Caenorhabditis elegans: one gene and its partners. The protein of the gene in region 1 purifies or fractionates together with the protein of each later gene. This does not show direct contact. Each region holds a gene or a part of one and is shown on either strand. Other genes may lie near its edges. The genes, in order: eat-3, R04E5.9 and let-19.

Evidence for each region.
Region 2: the proteins of eat-3 (region 1) and R04E5.9 fractionate together in Caenorhabditis elegans (co-fractionation; one large-scale study listed by BioGRID). This does not show direct contact.
Region 3: the proteins of eat-3 (region 1) and let-19 fractionate together in Caenorhabditis elegans (co-fractionation; one large-scale study listed by BioGRID). This does not show direct contact.

Annotation. Positions count from the first base shown.
Region 1 is NC_003280.10:9,320,799-9,332,258, reverse strand, and holds eat-3 (Dynamin-like GTPase OPA1, mitochondrial), read right to left. Parts: upstream 7,386-11,460; 5' UTR 7,372-7,385; coding exon 7,211-7,371; intron 6,595-7,210; coding exon 6,453-6,594; intron 6,318-6,452; coding exon 6,077-6,317; intron 5,700-6,076; coding exon 5,464-5,699; intron 5,417-5,463; coding exon 4,884-5,416; intron 4,835-4,883; coding exon 4,042-4,834; intron 3,998-4,041; coding exon 3,545-3,997; intron 3,492-3,544; coding exon 3,224-3,491; intron 3,041-3,223; coding exon 2,973-3,040; 3' UTR 2,594-2,972; downstream 1-2,593. Other genes in the region: eif-3.F (Eukaryotic translation initiation factor 3 subunit F), read right to left, coding at 1-15, 445-597; wbp-2 (GRAM domain-containing protein), read right to left, coding at 1,182-1,393, 1,894-2,272, 2,369-2,485; egli-1 (Transmembrane protein 41 homolog), read right to left, coding at 7,559-8,299; Ras-related protein rab-39, read left to right, coding at 9,350-9,591, 9,645-9,834, 9,885-9,998, 10,048-10,191; wdfy-2 (WD repeat and FYVE domain-containing protein 2), read right to left, coding at 10,671-10,827, 10,874-11,233, 11,354-11,460.
Region 2 is NC_003284.9:8,803,451-8,814,114, reverse strand, and holds R04E5.9 (uncharacterized protein), read left to right. Parts: upstream 1-2,972; 5' UTR 2,973-3,121; coding exon 3,122-3,126; intron 3,127-3,182; coding exon 3,183-3,278; intron 3,279-3,326; coding exon 3,327-3,542; intron 3,543-6,944; coding exon 6,945-7,022; intron 7,023-7,074; coding exon 7,075-7,194; intron 7,195-7,242; coding exon 7,243-7,246; 3' UTR 7,247-7,457; downstream 7,458-10,664. Other genes in the region: Metal transporter cnnm-2, read right to left, coding at 72-193, 246-337, 386-491, 1,039-1,165, 1,212-1,327, 1,371-1,443, 1,738-1,808, 1,857-1,925; R04E5.8 (JmjC domain-containing protein), read left to right, coding at 8,010-8,657, 8,760-8,813, 8,862-8,923, 8,970-9,118, 9,297-10,390, 10,445-10,664.
Region 3 is NC_003280.10:8,767,329-8,776,388, forward strand, and holds the start of let-19 (Mediator of RNA polymerase II transcription subunit 13), read left to right. Parts: upstream 1-3,646; 5' UTR 3,647-3,748; coding exon 3,749-3,763; intron 3,764-3,882; coding exon 3,883-4,095; intron 4,096-4,142; coding exon 4,143-4,302; intron 4,303-4,350; coding exon 4,351-4,645; intron 4,646-4,695; coding exon 4,696-5,402; intron 5,403-5,566; coding exon 5,567-5,833; intron 5,834-5,877; coding exon 5,878-6,072; intron 6,073-6,276; coding exon 6,277-6,478; intron 6,479-6,524; coding exon 6,525-6,695; intron 6,696-6,752; coding exon 6,753-7,146; intron 7,147-7,537; coding exon 7,538-7,717; intron 7,718-7,762; coding exon 7,763-8,323; intron 8,324-8,403; coding exon 8,404-8,499; intron 8,500-8,548; coding exon 8,549-9,060. Other genes in the region: nsph-1.1 (Nematode Specific Peptide family), read left to right, coding at 1-127, 311-376, 506-775, 818-987, 1,161-1,295, 1,345-1,450, 1,499-1,589, 1,849-1,979.

The DNA of each region.
Region 1 (11,460 bases):
GAAACAATTTGTGACCTGGAAAATAAAAATTGGAGAAAATATCATGAATTCCAAAAAAAATATTATTAGCGAAAATCATCCATTTTGCAAACTTTTCAGGGTTACAGCGGCCAGAACTTGCTTCTAGTTCCACAAAAATGCAATAAATTGTAATAATTGAATATTATTAAGTTCCGACCTTTGTGACACGGGAAAGCTTGCAAAATTGAAGATTTTAGCTGAAAGTATACTTTTTTCAAAATTTTGGCATATTTTTGTGTGAGCACTTGAGCATTCGGTCATTTTGAGTTTTTATTCGTTGTTTTAGATACTTTTTCGGTCGATGGTATTTACATAAAATTAAAAAAATTAGATTAAATACAGTTCCAGACACCAATAAGCTTGCAAAATTTCAGTTTTTTCAAAAAATTAGGCTCTTTTTTCTGTAATTATAAATATTTTTACCTGAATCGATCCTTTCTCATAGTATCCCATAAGTGTTCCCATGCACTTTTCCTGTCCTGTATTTTTCGCAGAACTCTTGGTACGTCTCATATGAGTGTCGACAACATTCATGTAGACTCCCGGGTGGACATTGACAGTTAAATTCGAAGCCATATTGACTTTTTTCTGAACCCTGTAATTGAAAAAAAAACTAAATTAAAGAAATAATCTGAATCAAAATAGTAAATTCAGCTGAAAACTGAAAAATGGTTTTGAAAAAATCAATAAAAAATATAAAGTTCTTAATAAATATTTTAAATTATTTATTTATTTACAATTAAAAGAAAAATTGTGTTTTTCAACGAAAAAAAAGAGAAAATAAAATAAATGTTCTGTGAATCAGAGAAAGAGATATAATTCCACTTATACATATATACTTTATCCTGGGAACGAGAGGGGGCATCAAGAGAGAGAGGGCATAGACTTAGTCTACCGAAAGTTTATAGTTTTATCACAACTTTTACTTATATTCACATGAGATTTTTAGAGAGACGTGCAAAAATTAAAAAAAAAAACAAAAAATAAATGGTGGAATTTTAGATAGTTTTTGTGTGCAACTAGACTTCTGAGCTTATTTGGAATCATTTTTCGATGCGGAAAAAAATTATGGGTAAATTGGCTTTGTTTTCTACGTGTTTCCCCATAATTTTGAACTAAACACTTTCTCTAATGTCATTTTTTGTTGTTAAATTTACAAGTTAATTTCTTCGCCTCAATCCATCGGCTGTTTCTCCTGAACCATAAGCTGGTGGTGCTTCAAATTGTCCAGCAACATGAAGTTCTTCAGTTGGATGTGGGCCGCGTTCTGGTCCGATTCCTGGATATGGTGGTGGTGCTGAGCTCATGAAAACTCGTGATGGGTTCGGCTGATCTGGGAACGAATCGGTGGTTGGATTGAAACCATTTGGTCCTGAAAATGTGAAATCTATTATTAATCGGATTAACCGGGGAATAATTTTAAAATAAAAAAAAAGTTAAATGCGGTTTAATATTATTTTTCTAACGAATTTGATAAGAAAACCATTAAATCCAAAGAAAGATGGTAAAATCAATTCAAAAATCAACAAAATTGTGAAACAAAAATGCAACGAGGTGGAAGAAAGTTGCATTAGAGCACGTTTTCATTTTTGCAAAACTGTCTGACCAGAACTGAAGATTTTTGGTATTTTTAGCAAAAAATCTCTCTTAAACAAAAAGTGATCGAAAAAAAAAAGAAAAAACTCGTTTTTTTAAAAATTAATCTTTAAAAAATTTTAAAAAATGTTTCAAACTTGGATTCCTTTTTTTTTCGTTTTTCAAAAAAGTGAAAAATGTTCAAATTCATACAAATCTCTAATGATTACGCTTAACATTTTTTAGGTAATTTTAATTTCGAATTCAGGATTATTTTTAATGTTCAAAAAATCTTACCTTGATCCGGCGACGGCTGATAATAAGCTGGCGGTGCAGAGTAGAAATCTCCAATTGGTGGAGAATATGCAGGTGGAGCATTCTCTGGTCTCATTCGAACAGCTCTTTCGACTGCTTGCAATAGAGATTGCCCGAATTCAATACATCCCCCTCTGTTGAATGTCATTCTCCATTTAACCTCTCCGCGCATTTGTCCTCCTTGAACAGCCGAGGCGATTCCACATAGGTAGTTGGCTCCGAAAATCGGCTGGTTTAAGTTAACATCTTGCATACTGTTGAATGGAATTTCAAATGATTTCAGCCAATCTCCAGGGTCTGGCATGAAAATGATTCTGTGTGATGTGAGGTAGATGGTTCCCGTTCGACGTCCTTCCAAATTCTATAAATTCGAAAATATGATTATAATTTTCAGCATTTGTGCTAATGAAGATTTTTGGTGTTTAAAAGATATGAAAAAAATACTGCAATAAATTACCTCATTTTCACTGGTTCCTAGTGTCATTACTACTCCTTGTGCAAAAATCACGATGGTTTCTCCATTATACAGTAGGACACCAAGTCCGTCCGGCGTGTTCGCCGTGTTGATGGACATCTAAATATAAATTAAACAAGTGGTAGCAGGATAAAAAAAGGTACCCAGAAGCGGATTTTCTATCGAAAAACCGAAGCATAATACGAAAAAAAAACAAATGAAAATGTTAGTTTAGGGAAAAATCTTCGTTTAAATTTTAAAAAATTATAAAATTGGGGAAAAAGCACAATAATTAGAGACCTAGATCATATTTACAACAAAAAAACCGGTTCAAAGTTGAGATAACCTATCAAAAATTGAGGGCAGGCAAAAGACTAGCTATACATTTTCGTGTCAATGAAAGGATGGAAAAATAAAATAAAATGGCAAAAAAGCACCAAAAAGCCGTGATGAAAACTTACAAAAACAAGTGACAAAATTACATGTTTTAGAGAACCTATTTTCGAGTCTATGTGATAATAGAACTAGAAACAAACAAACAAACAAACAATTGCACACACCTAGAATCTAAGAAAATCGTTTTAGCTGATCAAACATCGAGGAGATTTCAGATTTTTTCACGTTGTAATTGAGCCATGAACTCTTCGAGTTTCTCTTGGATTCGGCGAACTTGTTCTGAAATGGAGAATGTATAATTTTGTTTTGAATGAAACTTCGCAACATTTTGAAATTGAAAATGGAATCTCAATTATAAAAATTTACATTACATTTGGAATTTAAAGAATTTTAAAAGTATAACTTTGCATGAGAAATCCAGGTTTTCATTAATAAAAATTTGAAGATCAGAAAAAAACATACGAATTTCTTCTGCAAGATCGACACGTCTTCCCGTCAAATATTTCTTTTTAATATCTGGCTCTTGTGACCAATCATCCAACACCTCCTTAATCTCTTTTTCCAGCCTTCTGTGTTCAGTATTTGTGATTTGTTGCCGCAGTGCGTTACACGTCAAGTTGACCATCTTTTGGATTCTGTAGAAAAGTACGATGGTTTGGCAATCGATATCTTGTCCTTCAATCATTCCTTGACGATACATCTGATACATCGATAGACAGTCCTTGCTGCTCTGCAGAAAATATTTTATAAAAATTTAATTTCAAATGTTTCAGTCACACTTACATTAATTATCCTCTCCAAAAAGTGCTTCTTAAATACTAATTTCCATTGTTTTCTAATCGATTCAGTGGGAACTTCAAGTACGCCTTTCGTCTCAATATTTCTTCTGATTACAGTAATATCATCATCAGTCAACGCCTGTTTGTGCTCTGGATCTGCTCCTAAAATTGAGTAAAGCTCGTCCTGAATGACACATGAATAATGATTATCAGCAGTTGGGGTCTTCCACATTAGCCATTTCGATGCCCAACCCGGTCCTCTGTCGTCAGTAAGCTGCTTCTTCACTGCTGCAAGACGTTCTGATGCAGCCTTGTGAAGGAAATTGCATGCAGCATCCCATGATCGTTTATCCTGAACAGCACGATCCTCCATTGCATTCAATTGAATTACTCGGAGATAATCCATCGCTTTGTCATCCCATCCGTGCGTCAGCATAGCTTCTTCGATTACTGCTTCCTGGAATTAAATTATTTAAATTTTAATCATTCAAAAAAAACTACCTTTAAAGCATCAAACACTGGATCATGATCTTTTTTCGTTCTGGCATCTTGATTAATTTGTCTAAAGAAAACTTCTTTCAAAGTATCCCATCCGGTTTCGATGCTCTTTTGAGCCAGTTGCTTATCAGCAAAGTGTTTCAACTTGATATCAACTGTTGTGTTGAAAGATCCGGAACTTGAAGAAGCATACGCAGGCATCAATATCTGATCAAAAACATGTGAAGATATTCCTGACCATAGTTTGTCTTGAAGTAGTTTCTCCCATTCTTCAACTCCGATTAACGATAAATTCACAATTTCATCCAGAATTTCTCCTCTTGCTTTGTCATATAACTCGTCACGATTTAGTTGTCGTATTCTCAAAAAGTGATTCTTCCATTCAGCTTCTAAATTAAATTTGGCTGCTCTAAACGCATCAGTTTGACTTTCAATAGAATCCCGAACCATTCTCCAAAAACAATCTGAAACTGCCAATGACATGTTTCGAGTTGTCATCTGCGATGGTTTCAGAACACCATCCCGTAGTAACTGGCTTGTTGAGAAGAAATTCTCCTCATACTTTCTAATTTCATCGATCGAATCCGAACTGTTTCCTCTTCCAGTCACAACTCCGAAATAGCCAAGAGCCTTCATTGGAAATAGCTTTCCTTCAAGGATTTTCTTGATTCTATCAGGATTGGCCAAGTTCTTCTCAGCCATATCGACTTTTGTAAGAACTAGAATCGTGCGTTTTCCTGATGGATCAATGCTACTGACCAGGTCAGTTACGTTGCTTCTTTCCGCGTCAACCGATCTAAAATTTGAAAACTTCAATGATTTTCAGAAAAAAGATGAATACTCACCCATCCTGAATGCATAAAATGATTGCATTTGGGTTTTCCATGTGTGCTTTACTCATTCGAATGATGTCATCTTTAGTTTCCCTTGCCATATCAGCAGTCACAGTTGAGATAACTCCTGGAAGATCTACCAGAACCATTCTTGGGAGATTCGGACCTTTCACAGTTAATGAAATAACTTCATTCGACACCGTTTTCCCATCTCTTACTGAATTCCTCATTCTCACTTCAGTTTCATTACGTAATTGCTGGAGATCCGTCTCTTTGGTAAGATCGAATTCGCGTGAGGAATCACGGAATTGTGCAACATGGTATGGACCTTCGGAGAGTGTTACCTTCACTGGAGCTCTTGTCATCATTTCTCCAGATCCTCTGGGAAAGATTCTGGCTTGTGCCACCATTTCTAAAACTGACGTTTTTCCTGCACTTTGATCACCAACTACTACAACACGCGGCAAATTGTCCGAGGTGTTGTATGACGAATCGTATTCGTTGAGCAAGTCCAAAACTTCGCTGTACATGTCGATTAAGGATCTCTGAAATAAATATTATATAACTTTGAAACAGCCTAGAAATTATATACCTTAAGCCGTTTCAACCTAATTGCTGCCTTATCATCCGATAACAATAATCTCTGTTTCAGAACTTTGTTCTCTTTTTCGAGGCGTTCCAGTTCTCGTTGATATTGACTCTGAGTCTTGAGCATTTCCTCTTGAAGCTTCTGTATCCGCTCTTCGGCAGAAACATTGTCTTTTTTCTCCTCGGGTTCATCTTTTTTGGAAGAGAATGCGGACATCAATGAGGCGAGAATGACGGGCTCTGAAAAAATAGAAATTTGATTTTTATAAAACCTGTAACTCACAGATTAAGCTAAAGCACTAGGCTTTAAAGATTATCGTTTAAATATAAATGAGAAACTAAAATCTAGGAATGGACAAGCAAGGAAATTTCCATCCAATAACCGACGTATAAAGTGAAAAGTCTGGATTATATTTCCAAAGATCATGAAAATCCGCTTAAAGAGTGTGTCGTCTTTATTTTCACTTTTAGAAACGCATTCTGACGAGTATCAGGTTTATTTTGAGTAAGAAATCGTCAATTTACATCATAAAATGATTATTTTCGGATGATATCGTATATCAATGACGAAATTGTGAGGAAAACCGTTTTTATTTTTGGAGAAACAATGTATTTACCTTTTACTGGAACATTTCCTTCTCCTCCTCCGCCGCCTCCTGAATTTCCATTTTGATCCTCTTTCTGTTGTTTAAATTGCTCAAACTTGGCCATCCATTCTGCCCATTTATTTTGTCCATCTGCACCAAATCCATCTTTAATCCCTTTCATTTTTTGCGAAAACTCGTTCCAAGACCCATTTGAATCGAACCATTCCGGGAGGGATAAATCGGGCAAATTTGATTTCCATTCTTCATACCACTACAAAATATTTGATTATTCATGTAAAATTATCTTTTTTGGCGAATGTTTTTTGATCTACTGCTCACAAAAATCATATCAGTCGAGTAAACCTTTTAATTTAAGATTTTTGAACATTTTAGATAAGAGACTGACCGTTCTAGCCGCGACACTTCCACCAATAACCCCAGTTGCGATAAAATATCGAAGTTTGAGCAGATGTCGAGCTGCACTGGCAGCGATACCAATAAACGCCCTTTCGCTTTGTAAATTGATCACTGTTTGCCGTTTTTGGAGTCTGAAAATGTCAGTGATAAGCCGTATAAACAAGGTGAAGAGTGCTTAGACAAGGATTGAGTAAAAGTATATTCCAATGGGATTGAGAATAATAAAATTCCGAGTGAGCACATGGTCTTTGATGTCTATTTCTCTAATTCTCCAAAAAATTTCCCATTTTTTTATTTCTGTTCCAGAGGTTCAAAGTTCGGAATTTTGTTTTCTTCTTCGGTTTTTTCCCGTCAAAAATGAAATTTGAACATCAACGAATAGAAATATTCTTGGAAGATCTTGGAAGATTATATAACCTCATCTTCAGGATAGGTAATATTTAGGAAACAATATTGCCAAAAATGTGAAATATCCGAAAATTTTTCGTTAAAAAATCTTAAACAATTTTTCAAAAGTTCAAAATGAGTGGTAAAAGACAAAATGTCGTTTTTTTGTTCGCTTCAAAATGTGGTGTTTTCATATTGATAAACGTCATCAACCAAAGATGCAAAAAAAAGAGAAGAGACAGCAGTATTACAAAACACATTCCCCCTTTGCGCTATCTTCGTGGTTTTTGGTGTCTTATTACTCATCAAAGAGCGGACAGAGAGAGAGAGAGGAATAGAGAGAAAAGGAGAGAGACTCACAATCCTCCTTTTTTGCTGAAAAGTGCATTTGTGCCGAATTGCCTGTTCTGATGTTGATTTCCATTTGAATATGCGGCTAAAGTTGCAGAAGTGGAGGCGGATATCCGGGAAAACTTGTGCAAATTGTTCGATATGAATCGGCGTCTTGTGGCGATCCGCATCATTGTTTCATCACCTAAAAATTGTTTATTAGTGAAGAAAATATGATTATTATGACAAAAAAGGAGGCGAAAAATAAATAAAAATAGTATAGAAATGAGTTATCGGCTATATTCTCTAAATATCACAAGTTTTGCACAGAAAGCAATGGAAAAAAAATGAGATCGAAAGAGGAAATAAGAGAGAAAATTAATCCGATTTGAGCTTCTTCTTGAGCAAAATAGGAGCCAGCGACAAAATCGCCGAACCCGTAAGTAAAACGATAGAACTCCAACTCCATGCTACACTGGTATGGCTCAATTGTTCCAGTGTTGAGCCAGCTTGAATATACAGGAAACTTGGTGGAGCAACGCCTAGAAATGTTCCCCAGAAGAATGGAGCCAGTGGAACATCTAGAACAGGACTGGCAATGTTGATTAGCCAATTTGGAACAATTGGAGTTACTCGAAGGAAAATCATATAGTTCAGAAAGTCATCACGATGCTTGCTCAGATCATCCTGCCATTTTGCGATTCTTTCGGGAAACTTTTGCAAAACAAATGATCGTCCAAAAAGTTTAGAAATGGTGTAGCAGATGGCGGCTCCAGTTGCAGAGCAGGAGCACACCAACACAATTGCCACATAGAATGGAAACAGGTATCCTGATAGAATTGTTAGAAAAATAGATCCAGGGATAGCGAAGGACTGTAGAAATACGTAGACGACAATTACACCGCACAGAACTACTGAATAGTTGTTCTCCTTGTACTTCGAGAGAACTCTGCCCAGCTGCTTAGCGTCTTCCAGATTCCTGGGATATTTCAAATGAACCTTCTCATCTGCCGAGACTTCAGGAAAATTGCTGTATACAGCAAAAATTGAGACCGCAAAAGTGGCGAAAATGAGTAGAACAAGCCACGGATGTGAAGTTTGGGATGATTTTGTTTCCATAATATCTGAATGTTAAATTCTTTTGTGCACGGACATTACGGGTGAATTAGTGTAAAGACAACATTAAAACATAGAGATGGGAAATAAAAAGATAACATGATTAAAAACTATTTACGAAATACATCAAAACTCGATTTATCCTGTAACATACGTAAGAAGTATGTCAAATTTTAAGAAGATAATCGTAGATTTAGGATTTTTACTACAACAAAGCCTCTTAACCGAAAATTGTTCACAAAGTGTGTTTAATAAAAATCAAACAAATAATTCGAGTTTTTCCTGGATTCAATAGCGTTAGTGCTTCACATTTAATTTAATCAAACAAACTTATGCAAAACTATTTCGCAATATTACTATTCAGATTTCTTTAACTGTGAGAGTTAATCTATATATATATATATATATATATATATATAATATGTTCTTATATATGTTAACTTTTCCGAAATTCTAATTGTGTAATTGAAAAGTTTTGGAAAACAGGTGTTTTCGAGAAATTTTGCAGAAAGAAATGTTGCATCTTTACTTGAACTAGATTTTCTACTCTATTCTTAATTTATTTATATCAGTATATGTTTAAAATAACGTCAAAAGCGGAAACATGAAACAAATTGATTCAAAAGAGCTCTATAATCTTGCGAAGACAGCGGAGGAGAGAAAACAGCGGTAGAGAAAGCAGAGAAAAACGAAAATCGATAATTTCGGATTCAAACTCGACGAGAATGCTTTAAAATTGAATTTATATAAAGAATACTCTCGAAAACCGTGAAAAAATTTAATAAAAATAATCATTAGTGTATATTATTTAGAAAACGGCTCTTCGGTGCGGGACCCGCCACCAAGAAAATTCTATGCGCCTTTAAAAAGTCAGCCGTTTTTATTTATTGATCATCTGATTTCTAAGATTTCTGCTGAAATTAAAAAGGTTTTCATTTAAAAAAGTAATATTTATTGATAATTGTTGCTCGGATAACTTTAAATTTATTTTCTTATAATAATTGCATCATTCTCTATTGGAAACGCTCAACAATATATCATTTTTTAGACAAAATGGAAACAAACTTCATTGGTGACGACTATGGACCGCTCTTTCACTACCAATATCGTCTTATCGTTATTGGGGATTCAACAGTTGGCAAATCTAGTCTTTTACGGTACTTCACAGAAGGAAAAATGGCCGAAATCAGCGACCCAACTGTCGGAGTAGACTTTTATGCAAGGATGATTGAGTTGAGGCCTGGATATCGTGTTAAATTGCAACTATGGGATACAGCAGGACAGGAAAAATTCAGGTATGTGGATTTTTTTAAAAAGAATATTAGCTGATTAAAAAAAATATTTTTAGATCAATTACAAAATCCTACTATCGGAATTCTGTTGGAGTCCTTGCAATCTACGACACAACGAATCGAGAAAGTTTTGAGCATGTTGAAAATTGGGTTAAAGAAGCAGCATTAAATTTGGGTGGTCCAAGCCCATCGAAGTGTGTCTTCCAATTAGTCGGAACAAAAAGTGATATGGATTCACAGCGACAGGTAATTTTTGAACAAAAGTTGTGTTTAAAAAATTGGTTAAAAGCTTTCAGGTAAACTATGAGGAAGGCGAGTACTTTGCCAAGTACCATAAAATGAAGTTTATCGAGACGTCGTCGAGAACAGGAGACAATGTTAATGAAGCTTTTCATATGATTGCACAAGAGGTTTTTTTGAAAATGTTTCAATTTTATGATGTAATTTTCAAATTTTTAGATTCAAAATCGAGTCGACGACGGAGAACTGCGGCCCGTGGATGGCTGGGAAGGCCTTAAAACTGGTATTATGAGGTCACAATCCGTGTGCCTATCCGAAAGAAGTTTCCCTCAAAACAGCAGCGCAGGAGCTTGCGGATGTTGATAATTTCTCCTCAATTTTTTAATTTTCCCCGTAGTCATAATTTCGCGTAGCGTTCTTATAAACATCAAAAACTCAGCTATTTTGTGTACTTCCTGTGAGCTTTCTCCTTCATCCAGTGTCACCAACCTCACCTACTCTCCCGGCATGCATTCTTTTGAAATAATTTCTAGTCGTTCTGTCCAAAAACTTCAAAAAAAAAGATTTTTTTTCAAACTTTGTTGTAAAAATACAATTTTACAGTCGAAAAACTAGGAAATTATCGGGATTAGAAGAAAAGTAAGAATCACAATCACTATTCAGGACAACCTGTCAGGGGTATCGGGAAATATTGGTAAGTTTTAGAAGGTCTTGATTTGACAACAATTGGTCTTGGGGAAGGATGGGCATTTTGAGAGTGAATATACAAAATAGAAAGGAGAGGAAATAAATTAGATGAAATACAAAGAATTATGAGAAATTCGAGAAGTAGAAGCAATTGTTTATTGTGATCCAGAAGGGGCAGAGCAAACACTTCGAACATCCCAAATCATAATCACACGATTCTGTCCACTGGTAACTAGAAGTCCGAGAGTTTCCTGGAGATGCATAGCAGTGATTCCAGTATGGATTTCATGTGGAATTGCAAGTGGAGTAAGGCTAAAATTGAAAATAAGTTTCATCAGTCATTTGCTTTACAACTTACTTGAAATTCTGTGGATTATCTTTCATTCGTGCATTGCAGTCATTACAAATGCGAATTTTCGTCTCATATCCCATTGGTGGATAGGTGGTCCAGTTGTCACAGCAAGATCCACAGACTGCTGATCCACAGGTTCTGCAGTGATGTTGTCTCAATCCGACCACTTTCCTCTGCCACATTGCTTGAAGATTCCAGAAGAACGGTTGATTGCATTTCTGACAGCAATCCGAAGTTTTCCATTCAGGAGTCTCAACTCTCTTGCAATTCATGTCCCAGCACATGAGCTTTCCGTGTTCGTCAGCCGAGAACAGACGTTTGGCTGCTGGAGCTGCGCATAGTGTTGTCACTTTTCCATTGTGTCCGCTGAAAAAAACATTTTTTAATTTGGAAAAATCTATTTCAACTAAATATAATTCAACTTTTGCGCTCGAAAAACATCAACACTTTCGAAATATCACGTAAATTCCAGAAATATACACTCACTTAAGCTCATAAGCTTCTCCTCTTCCTCCTCCGATATCCCACATTATGATGAGATGATCACTGCTTCCAGAATACAAAACTTTCTTATTTCCGTCCCATGTGAGCGA
Region 2 (10,664 bases), on another chromosome or scaffold:
AATGTTTTTTTATAAATTATACTATTAAAATCAGTGGAATCATGTTTAAAAAGATGTTGGATTAATCTAACTTCACACATATGCTCTGCGGTAGAATTTCTCCAAAAACAACAATGCCAACTGTGGAAGCTACAAAAGCTATCAGACCTTCTGCCAAATCATCGAAAAGAAGTGTAATTCCAGTGTTGACAATCTTAAATTTTGAATAAAAAAAATAAGTTGACGTTAAATCTAACAAAACTCACAACATTCATAATAATAACAGTGCACAGTAACCGATTACCATGACATCTAATTGGGTAAATTGCTGCCGCATGCTTTTTCTCTCTTTGTGATCCTGCAAATTCACATAAAATTTGGTCTTTGATAAATAATAAAACAGTACCTGATTTCATCAAGATACTAAGTTCTTGCGGTGTCAAAGCCATTAGTCCCAATGTCAATCCGGAACACAGTGCTGATATGGAGAACAGTAGGCATAAAATTGCGCACTGAAATATTTTAGTTTAACGAAGGTAAGAGTTTTACAATTTTTTAATTCGAAAGCATTTGAAGGTGGACTACGGCTTATGGGGTGGCCAAAACATTTTCAAAAATATTGGTAAAAGTGATTTCTAATCAAAAAGCACTGAAAGCTCTGTTTTTATCAATTTTTTAGAAGTCGTCGGGTACTTGTGTATTATACCCCCGCCATTTTAAAAATTAATCAAATTTCCAATTAATTTATCCGTAAAAATTAAACGTGATGCCCATTTTCTTCGTAAACCTTAGGAATGGTGTTTTCCTAAGCATAAAAATACAAAAGAATTTCACAGGTTTTTAATTTATAAGTTAAAAAATTATTTTTTTAATGGCGGGGGTATAATACACAAGTACCAGTCGTCGGGAAAAAAATAATTTGCTTTGTTTTTTATTTAAATTGTGTTCAATATATTTATATACCAACATTGTAGACGTTAAAACATTTGCAACACTGATCTATAATTGAAATTTGGCATTTTAAGGAAAAATGCTAATAACCATCTCATGGTTGTTTACCTGAGCCCAAACAGGCATGAAAGTTTCATGAGTACTCTGGACAGCTTGAATCCAGGTTCTATCGTCATCGATTTGTATTAGTCCATGACACTCTGATTTTAGACAAATTCTCCATGGCTGGGGCCACCTGTAATTTACAACTAGCATTAACGAGTTCAAAATAATTGCCTTACGCTACGAAAGCATATTTAAAGACTATTTTCATATCTTTATGAATGTAGAAGGTGCTTTCTGATACATTAAACTCGGATGTCACGCAGACAGAATCAGTAAATGTCACCATTTCAACCTGAAATCAGAATGTGGAAAAGTTGGTATAGGCTGATAAATACATTTTCTAGTCCATGACCAAAAATCACAAGATCCACTTCAGTGTTTGCCTCCACCAATAACTCTCCAGCATCGCTGAAATTTTGTTACATTTTGTCGTACACCCTCGTCTGGTATTTTTTATCCCATTGTATTTAGTGCATTATCTAATTTTCTCTAATGAAGCTTTATTCTAAAGTAATGTAAACACCCAGATGAAATGCCATTATGACAATATACAAGCTTCACGTTTATGTCAAAACATGCAATTGAATTTAATTGAACAATGTAGTCCTTTCAATCAATAAAAAAGATGGCATTCCGTATGAAATACTTGTAATTACTTTAGTGCAAGTTGTACTGTGTATTAGAAGGTTCCTCATTTCTTACCCATATCCTAAAAATCCTGACGCGTCTACATCGCTTTCAATCCGAACTCCTGATACCACTGGCCGTATTTCCTGAATTTCCATCAATGTTTTTTTGTTTTCCTTTACGAAATTTCTCACCAGTTTTCCGTCTATGCATACAATGTGTGCACAGAGCAAAAGTAAACGTAGAAAAACTTTAATGATCATCAAATTAGACGTGGTATAGTGTGGTGGCGATAATGAATAAACGAGTGGTGAAAATGAAGAAAGTGCGTATCAGTAGGGGGCACTGATAACAATCTAGGTGGTTCATGTCTATGTGACATGAATGCTTGTTTTGGGGCTCTTTCAGTTTATGGGTGTCTAGAATCAAAATTTGCATGTGACAGGCTAAAGACAGGTTTCGAAGTGTTTTATCAATTTTGCATCCAGTCAGAAATTTTTGTTTAAAATATGATTCGTTTTTTCTCCAGTAATGCTTTTTGCCGGTTCATAGGAGATATCTTTTGTTTTGGGATAGGAAAGTAACTTTTTGGTTTCTCCTTTTTTTTAAAGCATAATCTATGAGTATTGGTGTTTTTTTATTTTAGTTGAACGTTCATTAATGATGTGACTACTTATTCAAAGCAAATCCAATAACTTCCACTGAAATAAAATTTCGGGATATTAAAAAAAATACAGCCTTATATTTTTTTGTAATTTTGTCACAACATTTCATGTTCATTTGGCATGACGAACAGCGAATAACTTTCATTTTTTAGACTATTTCGATCTTCCAGTTCTATCATCATTTTTGATATCCCTTATTTTCTTGATGACATTTTTGGGCAGTAGACGTGTCTACGCTGAAGGTTTGTTGTCCTATGAACGCGGGAATTGCAATTTTTTTCTTTTACGCTGAAAAAGTAATTTAAATAATGCTCTAGAAGTTTTCTCATCAATATTCGTTTGTCATGTTCGTTTAAGGAAGAAAAATTTAATGAAAAGTGCCCAGAATACATCTTCTCGGGACAAAAAATGCCAGTCCCCTACTTCATCCCGATCATTATTGTTTTCGTATCAAAAATTCATCAACCCTCACGTCAACATCTTGCTTTCATCGCCAGCTCGCCATTCTCAATTTTTCCTTTTTCTGTCCGCCTTATCTCACGTGCGCGCGCGTCCCGTCGTCCTCTCTGTTTTTTTGTAAATGTGAGTGTGTGGCAGAAAGCGAGGGTTTATAGGGCATTGGCGAGAGAGTGTGTGAAAAAGAGAGTGTGTCTTCGTTGTGTCTGAACACGCGACGCGCAGGGAGAGGGACGCAACGCGGTCGCTTCCAACTATTTTCTGTGTTCCTGCGGTGCGTGTGTGTATGTGCGTACCCTGCATCGATTTTTGGCTCGAGTAGTGGAGACGCCGAGAGTATGAAGTAGGTTTTTCCTCTAATGTTTAAATTTTCAAATTAACATTTCTTATTTCTTTCAGAGAGTTCATCAAAAAAGAAGAACCGATTTTCGAGGAGGAAGATGCGCATGTGCTGGGCGACGATGAACCAGATGGAGATCTGCCAGAACTTCCAAAGTAAGAACACCAGGAAAGTTAGCTCTTTTTTTACTTTTTTTTATTCAGAATTGCTGCTCGGCAGAGAAAATCAAAGATCGTGAGAAAACAAGGCAGGAAAACGAAAAGGAAGACTCGAAAGTCAAAGACAGGAGCAACAAAGCGAAGGAAAGGAACTAAACGACGACGGAAAACCACATCAAAATCGTTAGACAAAGGGGAAAGTATTGGAAGAGTCAAGCGATACGGGCGAGAAAAGGAACAAAAGCTTCATATTCGCCAAAAGTAAGTTTTTGAGAATTTATAAAGTAGTTTCTCAAAAAAAAAATCAGTAATGCTAGAGATAATAGAAATGTGACATTAAAAACTTGAATTATTGAACTCCAAAGCCAAATGCGTCGCATGCTCCCGAAATCATATCGGAATCAATTTTTCACTGGTTTTCTTCCAATCGCATATGAGCAGTGTCGTCCAACGTTAGGGTACGGTGATCAGATATCAGCTTTTCGAAGGGCAGTAACACGCTTGTAGTTCGGTCATTTCCTACTCGAAAAATTGTTGAGGGCTAATACATAAAGACATTATGTTCAAGCTTGCTGCACTGTGGTTCTGGTAGTCAGTCGCATTTTTCTGGCGATGCTCATACCGTGCAAGGCATTGCACTATTTGAACAGTGACGCAATCTAGTTGAAACTTGAATTTACCGACACTTCGACTTCTGAATCGGTCGTCATTCTACTATCACCCAATGTCCTGCTTCTAAAAAACTATGCTTGTTTAACAGAAGTTAATTTTATCTTCTGGTAAACGAGAAGCAGAAACCTTTCCATAACTACTGGAAATGTATCGAAGAAAACAGTTTTCCGAAAAATTATATGTGGAGGGGCTCGTACTGTTTATCGAAAGTTAATTCCAATTCAAAAGAAAAACGTTTAGCTTAGCAATGCAGCAAAGATACAACTTCCTGCACAATTTAACTTTTTGTCAAAAAGAAAACTGAAATCCTACGAAACATACATATATTCTGCAATTGACTTCAATTATATTCTTCATCGAAGTTTCACTCAAAAATTACTACATCGTGACGGCTGATTTCACGAGAAAAAGGAAAGCAGCACGAATCTATTTTCGATTGCTGTCACATGTATTTTTTGTTTTCAAATTTTTACAATCACTCAAAATACAGAAAATAAAATTACTACAGAAATTTTTATGTCTACATAATCATGTTAATCTGTAAGCATTTAAAATTCTGCTGTCAGAAGAAGCGCCACAAGAGTTTAAATATAGCTTAAAATTACGCAGTATTTTTTAATTTTGAATATGACTAATAAAATCATAGCTTAGCGTTCACATATTCTGATCGCCTACTAATTTTTCTATTTCTGTGATTCGGAGTATGATGACTTTCTGTGAACAATGTTGCATTTTTCATAACTCTCGAACTTATAGGTTTTCTGCAGATACATCCTTTTCAACATTAAAAGGTGGCCTGGAAAAATATATTTAACTGACGAATAGAAAACTTCTTTGAGGTTTATTGAGAAAAAAAAGCTCAAAGAAGGAATAACGGTTCAAGATATCTGTTTCAATATTTTAGTTTGTAGTATTACTTTGAGCTTGTTGAGAAAAAACCCAGAAATTTTCTCTCTCTTTTATTCTCTCTCTTTTTGAGCTTATTTAAATTAATTGTTAATATTTGCGGACTGTTAATAGCCAAACGATGATAAAAAATTGTTTACACCTATACGCAGTTTCAGTTTATAGCGGGCGATTGTTTTTCGCAGCACAACTCCAGTCCCTGTCTCATTACAAATTCATGAAGATAGTAGAGTTGGAACACAACCATTTATTTAACATTCGTAGGCAATCGCCTGAAATGAAATGACGTGAGCTTTAGCGCACAGAAAATTGGGAGCACGCAAATGATGAATGGTATCCATCAATCTCAAACACCGATATTTCGTGACGTTTTTCTTTTCGTGAGCCTATAATTCAATGTGACGTGGCAAGCGCTCTGAAATTATATATTACATCACTTCCGGGTTTAGGAAAATTCGAGGTCTGAATATCAGATCCTGAATTTTGAAAAAAAAAACGTAAATTTTTAAAAGTTGTTACTTGATGAATGTTGCACAAGAATTCTTCTTTAATTCTCATATAGAATTTATTAGAATAACAGAAAACCTTGCTGATAAATGCAATGTTTGGAATAAGCCAAAACATTAGCTGTCCTTCCCTGGTCTGAATGTCAAGCTCAATCTGATTGATAAAGTTCCAATTCAATTAACTAAACAACTTTTTTCAAAAAAATGTTATGATCAGATCGTATTCACAAAGTGCATCAGAAAACAGGGAATACGGGGTTCCTTGGCCTTCATTCCGAGATGACAAACTTTTTGGTGGCAAAGGTTCTTTGGGGGCAAAGTATCCAAGGAGACAAAGGATCCAGTAGACAAACTGGGGTGTGTCTTGGGGGGCATATCTTTGGTGACAACCTTTTTTTCAACTAGATTTTTATATGTATTTTTCAACTAATTTTTGTTCAAATTTTTCTGGAATAAGTTTTTTAATGCAATTTTCAATCGATTATCGGTTATAATTCCCTCACAATTGAATGTATGAACGATGGTCTTTTGGGAAAAGCTGTAAAACGTCCAACTAACTTGGAATATCGTGAGGCTCTTCCTGATGGCCTGATCCTTCAGATAAGAAGGATCGTAAGGGTACCTCCTGATGGTCTGATACTTCAGCTCCAAAGGATCACGAGGCTCTTCCTGATGTTCTGATCCTTCCGATCCGAAGGATCACATGGGTACCTTCTGATGATCTGATCCTTCAGATAAGAAGGATCGTAAGGGTACCTCCTGATGGTCTGATCCTTCAGATCCAAAGGATCATGAGGCTCTTCCTGATGTTCTGATCCTTCAGCTCCAAAAGAACATGAGGCTCTGCCTGATGTTCTGATCCTTCAGCTTCGACGGATCATATGGATTTTTGACAAAATTTGAAAAAAAATTTGAAAAAATTGACCATCAGGAGGTACCCTTACGATCCTTCTTATCTGAAGGATCAGAACATCAGAAGGTACCCATGTGATCCTTCGGAGCTGAAGGATCAGACCATCAGGAAGAGCCTCACGATATTCCAAGTTAGTTGGACGTTTTACAGCTTTTCCCAAAAGACCATCGTTCAAACATTCAATTGTGAGGGAATTATAACCGATAATCGATTGAAAATTGCATTAAAAAACTTATTCCAGAAAAATTTGAACAAAAATTAGTTGAAAAATACATATAAAAATCTAGTTGAAAAAAAGGTTGTCACCAAAGATATGCCCCCCAAGATACACCCCAGTTTGTCTACTGGATCCTTTGTCTCCTTGGATACTTTGCCCCCAAAGAACCTTTGCCACCAAAAAGTTTGTCATCTCGGAATGAAGGCCGGGTTCCTTTCTTTGATGGAAAAAGAAATTCACGAATTTTCGGCTTTTACGTCTTACCGTTTTTGAGAGCTATGTATCGTCAGTCTTCTCTTATCTACACAATTTTAATCATTAAAGCACAATTACAATACTTGCTACAGAAAAATAATTGTCGAGGGAAGCACCGATTTTTTTGTGAATCTTTATTCTAAAAGCCAAAATCATGCTTACCCCAAACATGTCATAACATTTAATTATTTCAGCGATGATGTCATTGTGGTCGATGAGGTCCCAAGTGCAGATAAAGTTCCCACTCCACCTCCTGCGCCTGCAAAGCCTACGTGAGATGCCAAATTTTTATCATGCTAAATTATAACAATAATCCCCTTTCAGGCCGTCGAACATTCTTGATCAAATCCTTTTCGCTCAGGAAAAAGTTCTTGCTCCAACTGATACCGCAAGAAAGTCGTTCACCAAAAACAAAATCCTTCCAAACGAACGACGCAGTGTTTGGTTTGCTTCTTAAGCCTTCTATTTTTAGAATGTTCCCTCGATTTTCAGGTAACTTCGAGATGATGTGAGGCGTGAAACACGACTGGTCCGCCCTCTACGCATAGTCTTTTTCATTGCACACACACACACACACACACACAAACAAAAACAGCATATATACCCTGTGCCCACGCTCATTTCCTTGAATGCACACCACGTCTTCGACGCCGTGCTGCGCCAACACGAGGCCCTGTGCCGTCGATGTTGCCGCCGTCGCCCCCCCCCCCCCCTCCTCTAATGCGACCGACTCGCGCCCATCTTGTTTTTCTTCTACTCATTTTCTCTACTCGATCGCCGCTCACACGCACACTCTTTTATTTTCCTGTCTGCGCCTCCCCTCTCTGTTCGCTCCTTTTCAGACTGCCGGTTTTGGTGAGCTGGTGAGTGCGGCGGGGCCAACGTGATCCGTGTGTAAGATGAATAGAGAGATGAGAAGGGCTCGTCGTCGCTGCACGCGGCGTGACTCGGTCAGAACTCTCGTTCTTCTCCCTTTTCACGGATCAATGGCCACGATGCGTGCGCTCACAGTGGGTATCTCATGGCAACGCATTGCTTTGCTCCGCCTTTTTTATCGACAGCAAAATTTGTCTTTCTCTCCCGTCAACTCTTCTCATCTCTTACTGATACCTACGTGTATACTTCATTGTTCCAAATACTGAATGTATTTCTTGCTCAATTTTCGAGTGTACCATTTATACTCCTTTTTTAATTTTCTCAAACTCTCTGAATGCTTTAAAATATGTACATATCATAAATAAAGTTCATTTCAGGTGAAAATGCACGGACACGACAGACCGGGCTCATCGTCCGGTGGATATTTCAACCCGCCAAGAAACAATCAATATCATTATCCAGAGAATCATCATCATCCCTACCCCGAAAACATAGCTAACTTGGTACCGCCATCAAACTTCCAGGCCATGCATTATAATCACAACTACATGGCTCATGCGGCTTCCATTGCTCACACGTACGGGGGTTATCCGCCTCCATATCCATATCAACATCCTCACCAGCCGCCGCCTGCACATCCACATCATCTTCAGCATCCACACCCCTATGCATATCCTGGATACCCTGTTCCTGGTCAGGAAGGCCACCAAGTGCCGGCACCACAACACGGTGATCATGAAGCAAGTCCACCGCCTCCTCCACCACCCAGGAAATCAAGAGCTGGGGGATCGTCGCCGCCACCCCCACCGCCACCAAGAGTTCCGCGGACACCCCCGCCAAGAAGCCCTCCACCACGGAGACCACCGATGACTCCACCATCACCGCAACGCAGACCACCGAGAACTCCTCCGTCTCCGGAGCCACGGAATCCGCCGAGGACTCCTCCGTCGCCTATTCCACCACCACCACCACGTCTAAACAGTCACGATCGGAGAGCATTGAGAGCACGTCGTCCAATGGTTCATCGTCCGGTAGGTTCTCTTTTTGATATCATTGAGTTTTCGTAACTGAAATTTGAGAACATTATATAAACAATTTTTCCAGTTTACTGGTTTAACAAAATATTTTTTCAGGCTCCTTACGGTCGCCGCTCCATAAGTCAGGGACCTGGAAGAAATAACGACGACGTAAGTTAAACGGTTATGAATTCTAGTTACAAACTTACAATTTTTCAGTGGGGAAGTCGCGAGTACGGAAAATATGCCGAGCGTCTTGCAAGCACAGAGCTGAAAAAGCTGTAGGTTTTACAATGAAGGAGTAGAAAGGATATATGGATTTTGCAGGCATCTCGAACGAGAAGATTACAAGCAAGTTTTGCGAGTAGTTGCAAATGCAGCAAAAACCTTCCGATTTGATGATTTTGAAGTTCGGTCTCATCTGCTATCCGGATACCGTTTCTACATGAATGGAGAAGATGCAAACGGCACAAAGCGTGAGTTAATAACTTGATGTTCCTTTGACTAGGCTGCAATTTTCTCTGACTAATTGAGCAGCAAAATTGTTTATTTTGTTAAGTATGATACCCAGAATAGTTTTATTTAAAAAAAGACTCATCTTCTATGTATCAAAACTTCTATCTTTATATCATTTTATGAAATTATTTATTTCAGAGTTCTCCATCCCACATAATATGGATCGGCCACCAGCCCCTCGTTACTGGATCATTGATAATGAAGTTCGAAGCAATCCACCATCGCCAGTTTTCCGTCCAGAAGCTTCGTTAAGTCCATCGGTCAATGTTGACTACGGAGAGGGGTCATCGAACCAAGCTGCACAAATGTTTGAGCCGGGAGAAGACCAAACTGCGTTCTATCGAAGACTTTTGGCTGGGTTCGCTGCACAAGGACGGACATTTGGACAGCGAGAAGGAGAGATTCCAGCCATATACGGAGCCGACGGTCTTTTGACAGAATGGGGATACGAGCTGCATCTCTTAAACCAAGCTCGACAATTAGAATCGAAGCCTCCATTGGTTCATTATGAGGAGGTTGGATTTGATCGTAAAGACGACGACGAAACGTATGAGCCCTATCAGGGCGGCCAAGCTCAGCCAGACGGATCTCCAAGTGAGTACAGCCCAAATCATGTTCGCCGTGGACCAAAAACTCCACCAGAGAGAGAAGAATCTGTGGAGTTTTCTCCGGGCCATATTCCAGTCGGCCCAAAAACACCACCAATGCCCGATGAGAGTCTCGAAGACGATAAGAGATCACCAATAATGGATGGTAATCAATTCGAGGAGATGGAACTGTATCCAATGGACCCAGAACAAGAGGTTTCGATGAATTTTGTTCCTGTGAAGCCTCAAGCTGTGGTCCCTGAACAAGTTGCATCTGAGGAAAATGAAGCTAATCCAATGGAAGTAGATTCGGGAGATTTGATGAAACTGGCTGTGGACTCTATTGATCAAAATGCAGCAGTTGTTTCAAATGGCTCATCAACGCCATTTTCAGTTTCTACACATGCCGACCAAATCGTTCCGAAAATAGAAAATAAACGGCCGGCCGTGCAAGACTTAATAGGAGAGGTGTTGGAAAAAAAGAAGGCAAAATCATCTGCTTATGAAAAGCCTGAAGAAGGGGAAATTGTTGACGCTGAAAATGCTGGCATAGCTTCTTCAAAGGCTAGCAAGTCAGCCGACGACAAAATAGAAATTTTGGCAAGTCATGGTTCCAATTCAATTCTTAAAAGTGCACACGATCAGGTGAGAGTTAGTTATTCTTCAATTGTATTTACCAACGAAACATCAATTTTACAGGCGTCTAAAGCATCCAAATCGTCGAGAAAGAGGTCTAAAAAGAGTAAGAAGTCAAATGAGACTTCTTCATCTTCATCCGATGAACGATTGATACATTCACAATCTCCACCAACACCCCAAAACACTACTTCTTCATCCGATGTGTCTTCTTCGTCTTCAGGAGGTTCAGCGTCCACATCTGAATCCTCATCTTCTGCACCATCCGCTGAGCAGGTTTCGA
Region 3 (9,060 bases), 550 kb from region 1:
AGTTGGCACACCTTTTCCACCAAATGTTGCAAAAGCTCCTGGTGAGACAAATAAGTACGTCGCATTATGGTATAAACACGGAAAACCAGTGATGGGCAGAGCTTGGAACGATTCTGGAGTGGTGAAGGTAAACTGGAAAAATAACTATTCAGAAATTAAAAATAGACTTCCAATTATTTGAACTTGCAAGTATGCAAGTTCGCCTGCATAAAAGGTAACTTACAAGCGGTATTAAAATATTAAAATACAAAAAAATATGGAGAGCCACCACGAAGTTTTGATTCCTTGGCCAATCAATCCAATTTTACAGGGAATTTTACCAACGGTAGATATGTGCTCTGGAAAGCTGGATCGATTTGCCAAGTTTCAACTCATCGTTTGTTGCATATTTGCTATTGATATGTTAGGCTCACTTGATATTTTAGGGAAAATTTTCCTTTAAAAAATAAACTAGGAAATTCTAAGACTATATAATAAAAAATATCCATTTAATCCAACTTTTCAGTGCATGTTTGTTCTCGATGATAAGATATATAGTGGAGCAGATGTCGGAGGAAGCATTCAATTACTTATTCTCGATCATATTGAAAAATCAAAATCATTTCATTATGATTGGGTAAACTTCAAAAAAGCACAAAGTTTGACAATTGAAGGAAAATATGAAATGGTTCGATGTGAATACAGTGCATCAATGTATTGGCCGGAGCATGGACTATTAGGATGCGTGAACACAGAGAAGCTTGTCGCACATTTTGTTGATAACGAAATGCAAATTGTTGGTTTTTTATTTAAACGCTTATTTCATCTATTAGTTCAGAAAACCACCAAAAAGTTGGAACATCTTTTGGTTCTGTGTAAGATTGCTGGATCAAGAGACGCGACTGAAAAAGAAAAGGAAAAGGGTTCCACTGGAAGTGCTTCAAAGTTATTGACAGTCGTCAACGATTGGGAGGATTTCAATTGGGGAAGTGCGTGGCCATCCAATAAGTGAGTAGCTTTATATTTGCCTATTTATTAACATTTTCTAGGTTTTTAATTTTATATTTTGTACAAAAGGTTTTCTTTCTCTGAGCATTTCTGTGAAATTCTTTTTCATCTTAGTAGCTACAGAATTTTGCATCAATTTGCTGATGTTTACATTCAAGAGTATCCAATTTCAGAAATGTAATGTCTATACCAAAAAACATCCCATCGGCAGGCATTGATCAATTTGTTGCGTTATGGTATCGGCATGGGAAACCAATTATGGGAAGGGCATGGCAAAGCAATGGAAGAATTGAAGCATCTTTTGTAGAGTAAGATTATTTTGATTTGTTCGAATGCGTGCATGTTTAATTATTTCAGCGCTAAACGAGAATTCACGGGAGCAACAGTCGGCTCACTCCAACTTTTGATCAGTTTGCCACCTACTACAGTTGGTTATGATTATGTATGGATGACCTACACACAAGTACAGTAATTAATTAATCAGATTGTTCTCCTAACTTTCTAATTTCAGGCAATTGACTACCGTGACAAAGACTACGTTCCAGTTCATCTCAGCTACATTTGTCCTGCCATTGTTCCAGTCGATGGAAAATTTTTTCTAGGTAAACTATAAAAGCACTGCGGAAATTTTTGTTTTTCTATTACAGTAATCTAGAATTACGTTGGTTAAAAGTAAAAATCTTTTGCTATCATAAGCCATGTAAGATGCTTTGACCAAAAAAATGTATGTATATGATAAAGTGAACATATGTTTAACTGAAGTAAGCTTGAAAGTGATTACTTTCGAATAGTTGTGTGTTTTTTCACTTTCTGTTGTTGAGCACCTACTGTTTTTTCTGCCAATGAGCATATGTCTTGTAGGACAGGTGAACATGAAGACCGAGTGTGCTACAGTGGCCCTGAACGGTTCGGTGACCCAATTGGATGGAGGACCCGTCAAATCGATCATGGTTCTTTGCAGAAAAGAAATGGCTGAGACGATGCTCATCTGATCGAGAATGAACAAAAGGTTTCTTCAATCCCATCTGTTTCACAATGTATCTCTCAATCTTGATTTTCGTTTGTCAAATGTTTCAAGGATAATTCAATAAAAAGAGTGAAACTTATTTTTATTTGTTTTGAAGTCATTGTTTTGTGATGCTGGTCTTTTTTGTTTCTTATAAACTTTTTGTTAATTTAGTTTTTCTCAATTTTTCATTTATTTCTTGAAAAGGTGTGCAGAGGGGATTGATCGAGTGACGACCGCGCCGCCGCCTCCTCCGAATGCGGCGGGGCAATGGTGGGGTGAGAGACATGATGAAGGGAGTGGGAAAAGAAGGAAACGCAGTAAGGAAAAGACATACACACACGGGGGCCACTTTCCGTCGTCTCTTCGTCCTTTTTCTTCTCTGTCTGGGTGTTCAAGAGATTGAGACCAATGACTCTATTTGATGAGCATAGTTTTACTGTTTTTTCGAATAATTTATTTTCAACTAAAAAATTATCTTTAATTTTTTTAAATTTAAATATTTGATTTAATGAACTTATTGGTGAATTTTGTAACAACTTCTTTATTTCGTTTCGTGATATAGTTAATTTTTTTCAAACATAAAATTTGAAATTTATATTTATTAGCACCTAGAAAGACACTTATTATTTCTTTTAAATTCAAAGTTTTTCGGATTGTTTTTTTTTCAAAAAAAAGAGAAAAAAGTGTAGGTAATCTGTCAAATGTGAGGCGCGAGTGTATCTTTCGTTTACGTATTTGAGAGATAACGTTGTCCTCATGGCTTGCCTCTTCTCTGTGTTATCTGTCTTTCGTTGATCGGTTTTCAGTCTTTTTCGTAATTTTTAAAAGTTTATTGATTGTCACTGAAGTTTTTCTGGGGAAAACATAAAACGTTTCTTTAATACCCCTCTTCCAAAAAATGCGCGTCAAGTGTGTTGCACAGTACGCAATCCTATTCAAAGATTACATGGGACAGTTTATTTTCATTTAGGGAACATATAATACCTGCATACCTACAATGATATCTTATTTTATTAAATGTAGTTTCAATTAGAATTTTTTAAAGCTAAATCTTTTATACTAATAAGTTGATTAAACGTTTTCACTTATGTAAGTTTATGTAAGTTAATTGGTACTTTTCCAAATGAATTGAGATGCTCTTTTCTTTTTTTTTCTGATCTATATTGTAAACTAAGTTTGATAATATGGACATCTTGTTTACAAAAGTTTTTGTGAAATGTCTTGAAATTGTTATCAATTCTGTAAAAAACGAAGTCCTTGCAATTTTTCAAAAGTTTTAGGTGTAACTATACTGAGTGACTTGCCGATTGACAGTATCAAATTTCAACTCCAAAGTTTAACTTCTTTTTTTCAAATTTTTTTTACACAAAAGAATAATCGTTAATAATGTTATTAAACATTTCAAAACCAACTTGAATATTTCCAAATGTGGACCTAGGTTTCTAACCACTACATTAATATTGATTGGTTTTGGCAATTGCATTGTAGACAACAAAACACAATTGTTTTTATGATTCCTATGTATTTCGGCCATTCTTGTTTCATTTTGTTAACTCGAATTGAGATAAAACCGTTTAATTTGTTACCGCCTGTCTATTATCGCCTGTCGTCTCCGTTCAAAATCGCTCGACAAATTAGTTCCGATTGCAGAAACATTGTGCTAAAGTGTCGTCGCAACAGAATCAACAATTGTACAGGGACGCTTCCAAGATACTGGCTGGAAGTGGACCAGCCCGTGACTCCACAGAGGACATGTCCTCCGCCAAGGTGCGCTGTTTTTTTTTGAAATATAATTCTCCAAATACATTTTTGGTATTTGCCAAAAATTTTTATGATTTGAAAGTTTAACTAAAAGTAAAAACTAATCCACCTTCTAAATTTTGTAGGATAGCGACAAGGATGCCTCACGCAAAATGAAGCTCCAGAAGCGTCCAGAGTGGAACAACGGTGGCAGCTTAGAAGACTGTATCTCAAATGTTTATGCACTACTTGAATTGCCAGGCATTAAATGGAAATGTTACCGCACAAAACCAAATGCTCCACGTGGTGTTGCACTGACTGCTGATTTTGTACTCAAAGCATACAGTAAATGTTTATTGGTAAGAACTTTATGAAAGCCATAAATTTAATTAAATCCAAATTTTAGGACGGAATTCTTTGCACATGGAGACGTAAACCATTACCCCCAACTGATAACAAAGAAACTCCAAAACTGACGAATTTTTCAAATGATGCTCCAAAAGAGCTCTGGGTATTTTGGTATGATGATGAGCCAGCATTGCTTCAGAAAAATTGTGAAGGATTGGGTAATTATTGTTTTTTCTATTAATTCATTCAACTTGTTTATTTTTCAGATAACGACGATGAATTATCATCAGCAAATCAAATGAATATTGTGAGCTACGAAGTACGCACAATTATCTTCAAAGCTTTGCACGTTGTTTTGGAAAGAGATCTTACAAAAGACGGATTCGTTCGATTTGGAAGATGGTTTACAGTTCCATATGATGCACGAGAAAATTATCTACATTTTACGTATCCATCACATTCTCCAGCAATTCGATTCAACTTTTTTGTTCATGGATCCAGCACGATATGTGCTTCTGTTCAAGCACAAAGGCAACCAACTTTGATAACTTTGGCTAGACGGTAATTTAGTTTTTAACATAGTTATTGAATAATTAAAATTTAATTTTCAGACATTTGGAGTGCAAAACAAAACGTGTTGTGGTTGTAGTAGGTCCATGGTCCATGCGCGGTCAACTTGTTCAAGACCAAATAGCTCTTCTTGCCGACCCAAAAATTCAAGAATCAGCAGAAAAAGAATGGAATCAATGGAAAGATTATTTGCAAATGGAAGAAAAAGAACCAGAAAATGTGTCAGAAGAAAGGCAAAAATCTCCAGATTCGGATCCACCAGCTCCACCACAAACAACTCGAGTGTTACTTGCAGATTCATCTGATGAAGAGCAATCACAGAGTTTTGAGGCAATTGATGAGTCAAAAAAAGACGATATTCCACAGAGATTACGATGGATGTACGAGCCTGATTACCGTCAAGAAAAATCAAAAGAAGAGACACCAGAAGAAAAAGAAAAAAGAGAACAATCAAGAGAAGTGAGGAAACAAAGAAGGAAATTAAGAGAAGAACGACGAAAAGAGGTTGAAAGGCAACGTACAGAAGTTAAAAATCCTGATGATTATGATTCGGATGTAGTGACAGATGAAGATGTTGGAGAGAAGGAAGAATGTGTGAATAATGATGTGCCGAAAATGGTTCTTCTTGATATTGACGGTGTTCGATTATTATACCCATCGAAATTCCTTTGTGTCACAATTGATGAGGATCGGCAAATGCTTGAGTCAATTGGTCTGAAGACAAATCAACAACCACCTGAATTACAAGGTAAGTAAACCACGATTTTTTAAAATTTTGAAAACATTACGAATTGCCAAGAAAATGTTGATTATTGAAAATTTCAATAAATGATAGGTTTTTCAACTATTAGTTGTATGCACTTCCAAATAATTTATTTTTAATTTTCCTAGTTCAACTGCAATTTATTCCAGCCCAAAATCGTCGCCCACGTAACAAACTTGTTGTCAACGTTGCGAATCCAATTCTATCTACAATGGCAGTCTACCAATACTGTGAAAATGAACGGTTAATTTCAAAAGAAAATGTTCCACAAAAAAGTGCCACTAGTGGGCAGCTCTTGCCCCCACTAAAAGAAAAATTCTTAAATTGGAAGTTTACTGCAAAAAAGTATGGATGCAGAGGAGATGTATCATGTCGACATTGTGCTGAAGCTGAATACCAAGGAGAATCCGATGGACGTATGTTTTTTTTTAAGAATCTCAAAGTTTTTATATTTTTTCAGAAGTTATACTAGACGTTGATCGTCACAATAGATTTCTAAAATATGGTCCATATACGGAAAATTCGATTAGATGGCACAAAATTCGGAGTCGAATTCAAAAGAAATTTGATTTTCATGCCTATCACAAGAAGCATCCAATTGGGCCAATTACACCTAGAAAGGCTGGAGACAGTGTGAAACAGACAAAACAACTGAGTGAGTTTTTTAAACAAATGATTTCACAAAATTACACTTAACACTGATTTGGCCATCCTAACTTTTTGAGAGCTTTCTGTTTTTTTACTTTTTTTTTTTGAAAACATAAACTTTAAGTAATCCTAAGCCATTGCAACTTTTTAATGGTTCAAAATTTTGAAGCACTGCTATTTTATATTTACTTATATTCTTTTGTTTTTCTAGGTGCGGTCAAACGAAGAAGGAGAGCTCGTCGAGAAAGAGCACAAAAGAAGAGGCGTGACAAAAAACGTCCAACTGGATCAACTCGAGCTGATAGCGAAGATGATTCATTTCGAATGGACAAACTTTCTCAGGATGATTGGGCTAATTTTGAGGGAGAGCACCCAAAGGGAATCCCTGAAATTGAAGTTGATAAGGATTTTGAGTAAGTTTCCAGAAGTTTATTTTTTTCAATTACATATTTTGTTCAGACTTCATAATGACATCAAAATTCCCAAAGTTCCAAATGATGACAACTACAAGCCAAAATCGTTTTTGCCAATTACATATCTCACCAACAATGTAGATAATAATGACTTTGAGTCAATGCCTGGAGATGATGATATGTCTGAAGAGCGTTTCAATCAGATATTCAAAGACAAGTATGTTATATTAATTTCTAATACTTCTAGAATTCGACACAAATTTTACAATTTCAGATACAATCGATGGAAGCCTGGAATGTCGAGAGCAGAAAAAATCGAGCACGCTCATTATCAATTTGATCCATCAAATCAAATGACCGGTTCACCACGAGAATACCATTTGAAGGATTTGCCAAAGAAGATTCAAAAATATGAATCAATACTTCCTACACCAAAAGGAAATAAGTTTTTCAAAGGAAGCATTTGTCGAAAAGGATTAAGAGGTTATGATGAAATTTGTGCGGATCAAGATGAAAAAGAAATGATGAGAAAAGCAAAATGGTTGAAGAAAGCAAGAAGGAAAGTTAGCAAACAACAGATAAAGAAGGCGGGGCAGTATCATATTGATATGCAGAAACAAATAGTCAAACGTTCATTGAAAAGAGCCATCAGGAAATTAAAACTAACTGTGAGTGTTTTTTCTGAAAAATTTATTTTGTTTCCAATCATATTCAATTGAAAGGTAGAGTATCGTCATTGTGGGATATTTCCTGAAATTCATACATTTATAATAATTCAAAATAATACAAATAAATTCCTTAAAAGTTTTTGAGATAGTATTAGAAAATTTTCAGTTTTGGTAAATTGTTAAACTTTTTTGAAAAATTTGGGCTCTTCGAGATATTCGTTTCTCATGGTTGAAGAGCTAAAATGTTTCAAATCGAATATTCAAACAATATTTAGAATATATGATTCTTAGAAAAAACCTTTTTCGGTCGGTTTCGAAATTATAAGTGCCTGAGTAATCTCTTTTTGTTTGAAAATATAAAAAGTTCAAAAAAATAAATGCAAATTTTCAGACCAAAAAGGATTCACAATCGAAAGGAACAAAACAGCAGAAACTCGTTCTATTATCATATAAAAAGAAGAAAGTCGACGAGAAAAAGTTCCAACAATACCTGAAAGAAGTGGAAAATGTTTTAGACAAACTTGATGTAAACTCATTTTGTAAGAAAAATGAGAAAGCTGGATTTTCGGAGGTATGTGGCTATTTTTCAAAATTTTGTTTACTTTTGAATGCTCAGAAAGCAATACCAAGTGGATATATTATCCCTGACTATGAATCGTCAATTCACTGCGGGATGGAAGAAGAATCTGATTCTGAGATAGACGAGCCACGCCATGGACTTGGAGAAGGAACTTGTGGGCAATATCTGGAGGGAGAATCTGTGGATCTTGCTGACATGGAACATCATCATAACGAATTGCCTATGGAAGTGACCAGTATCGGACATATCAGAACAGTCGGCGAGCATATTGGTCCAGATGGAATGTTATCGCCACCTGCCAGCAACGAAATGCCAAAAGGAGGACCTCTATCGGTGGGTCCACCATCCATCGAGTCGCAAGGACTCAATCAGATCTACCCGACGCCGCCATCAGTTCAGATGCTCCTGGGAGATGCAGCTCAAGCACATTCTCCTGTTATGCATACAAAGTCACGTTACGCGATGAATACGTTGGAAGATGATGTTGAAAGAATCGCTGTGCCTGGTGGAGTCGGAAGTCTTGTGGAAATCGAGGCTGACGATATTGAAACAAAGAATATGCAAAAGTGGAGCAAACTTTCAAATCAATCAAAACTGGTCAGTTTTTTATGAGTACTACATAATTAAAAATCTCATATCAGTTTTATATAGCTTCAACAATACCACAACTTTTTCAGTCGAAGTTCATTGCATTGTCTTGCAAAGATCCGTTCCTGAAATCGAAGAAGAAGAAATATGATACACCTGTCACTAGCAAGTTTAAGATTGAAAATGTGAGTTTTACTTTAAAAAAATGAAACTATTTCATGAAATTTTGTTTAGGAACCTCCAAGTATGAGCGCAGAGCTGGTGTACGCACCGATGGTCACTCGCAACTTCTACTCGGCGCCGCATCGAACATTTGGTACCTTGGCTCAGAAAGTGGTTGACAAACGACCTTCTCAATTTGCAATCCCTTCAACATCAACAGCAGCTCATCCTGGATTGACTACACCTATGGCATCAATTTTCCAATCACCCACAATGCCACCTCCACATACCCCATCACCTTTTTCTGCTGGTCCAATGAGTCATCATCCAATGGGACCACCTGCGTATCCAGGAACTCCTGGCTCATTTCCACCAACAACGCCAACATATCCTGGAATGACACCACGACCAGGGCCAAACTTTGGACCTCCTGGTCCAGTCTATCCAAACTCTCAACAAATGATGGGCCCGGGTGGATATCCACCACAAATGGGTATGATAAACTCTCAACGGCATTTCCAAAATCAGCAGATGTATCAACAGCAAATGGTGAGAATGCAGCAAATGCGCCAGATGGGTGGACC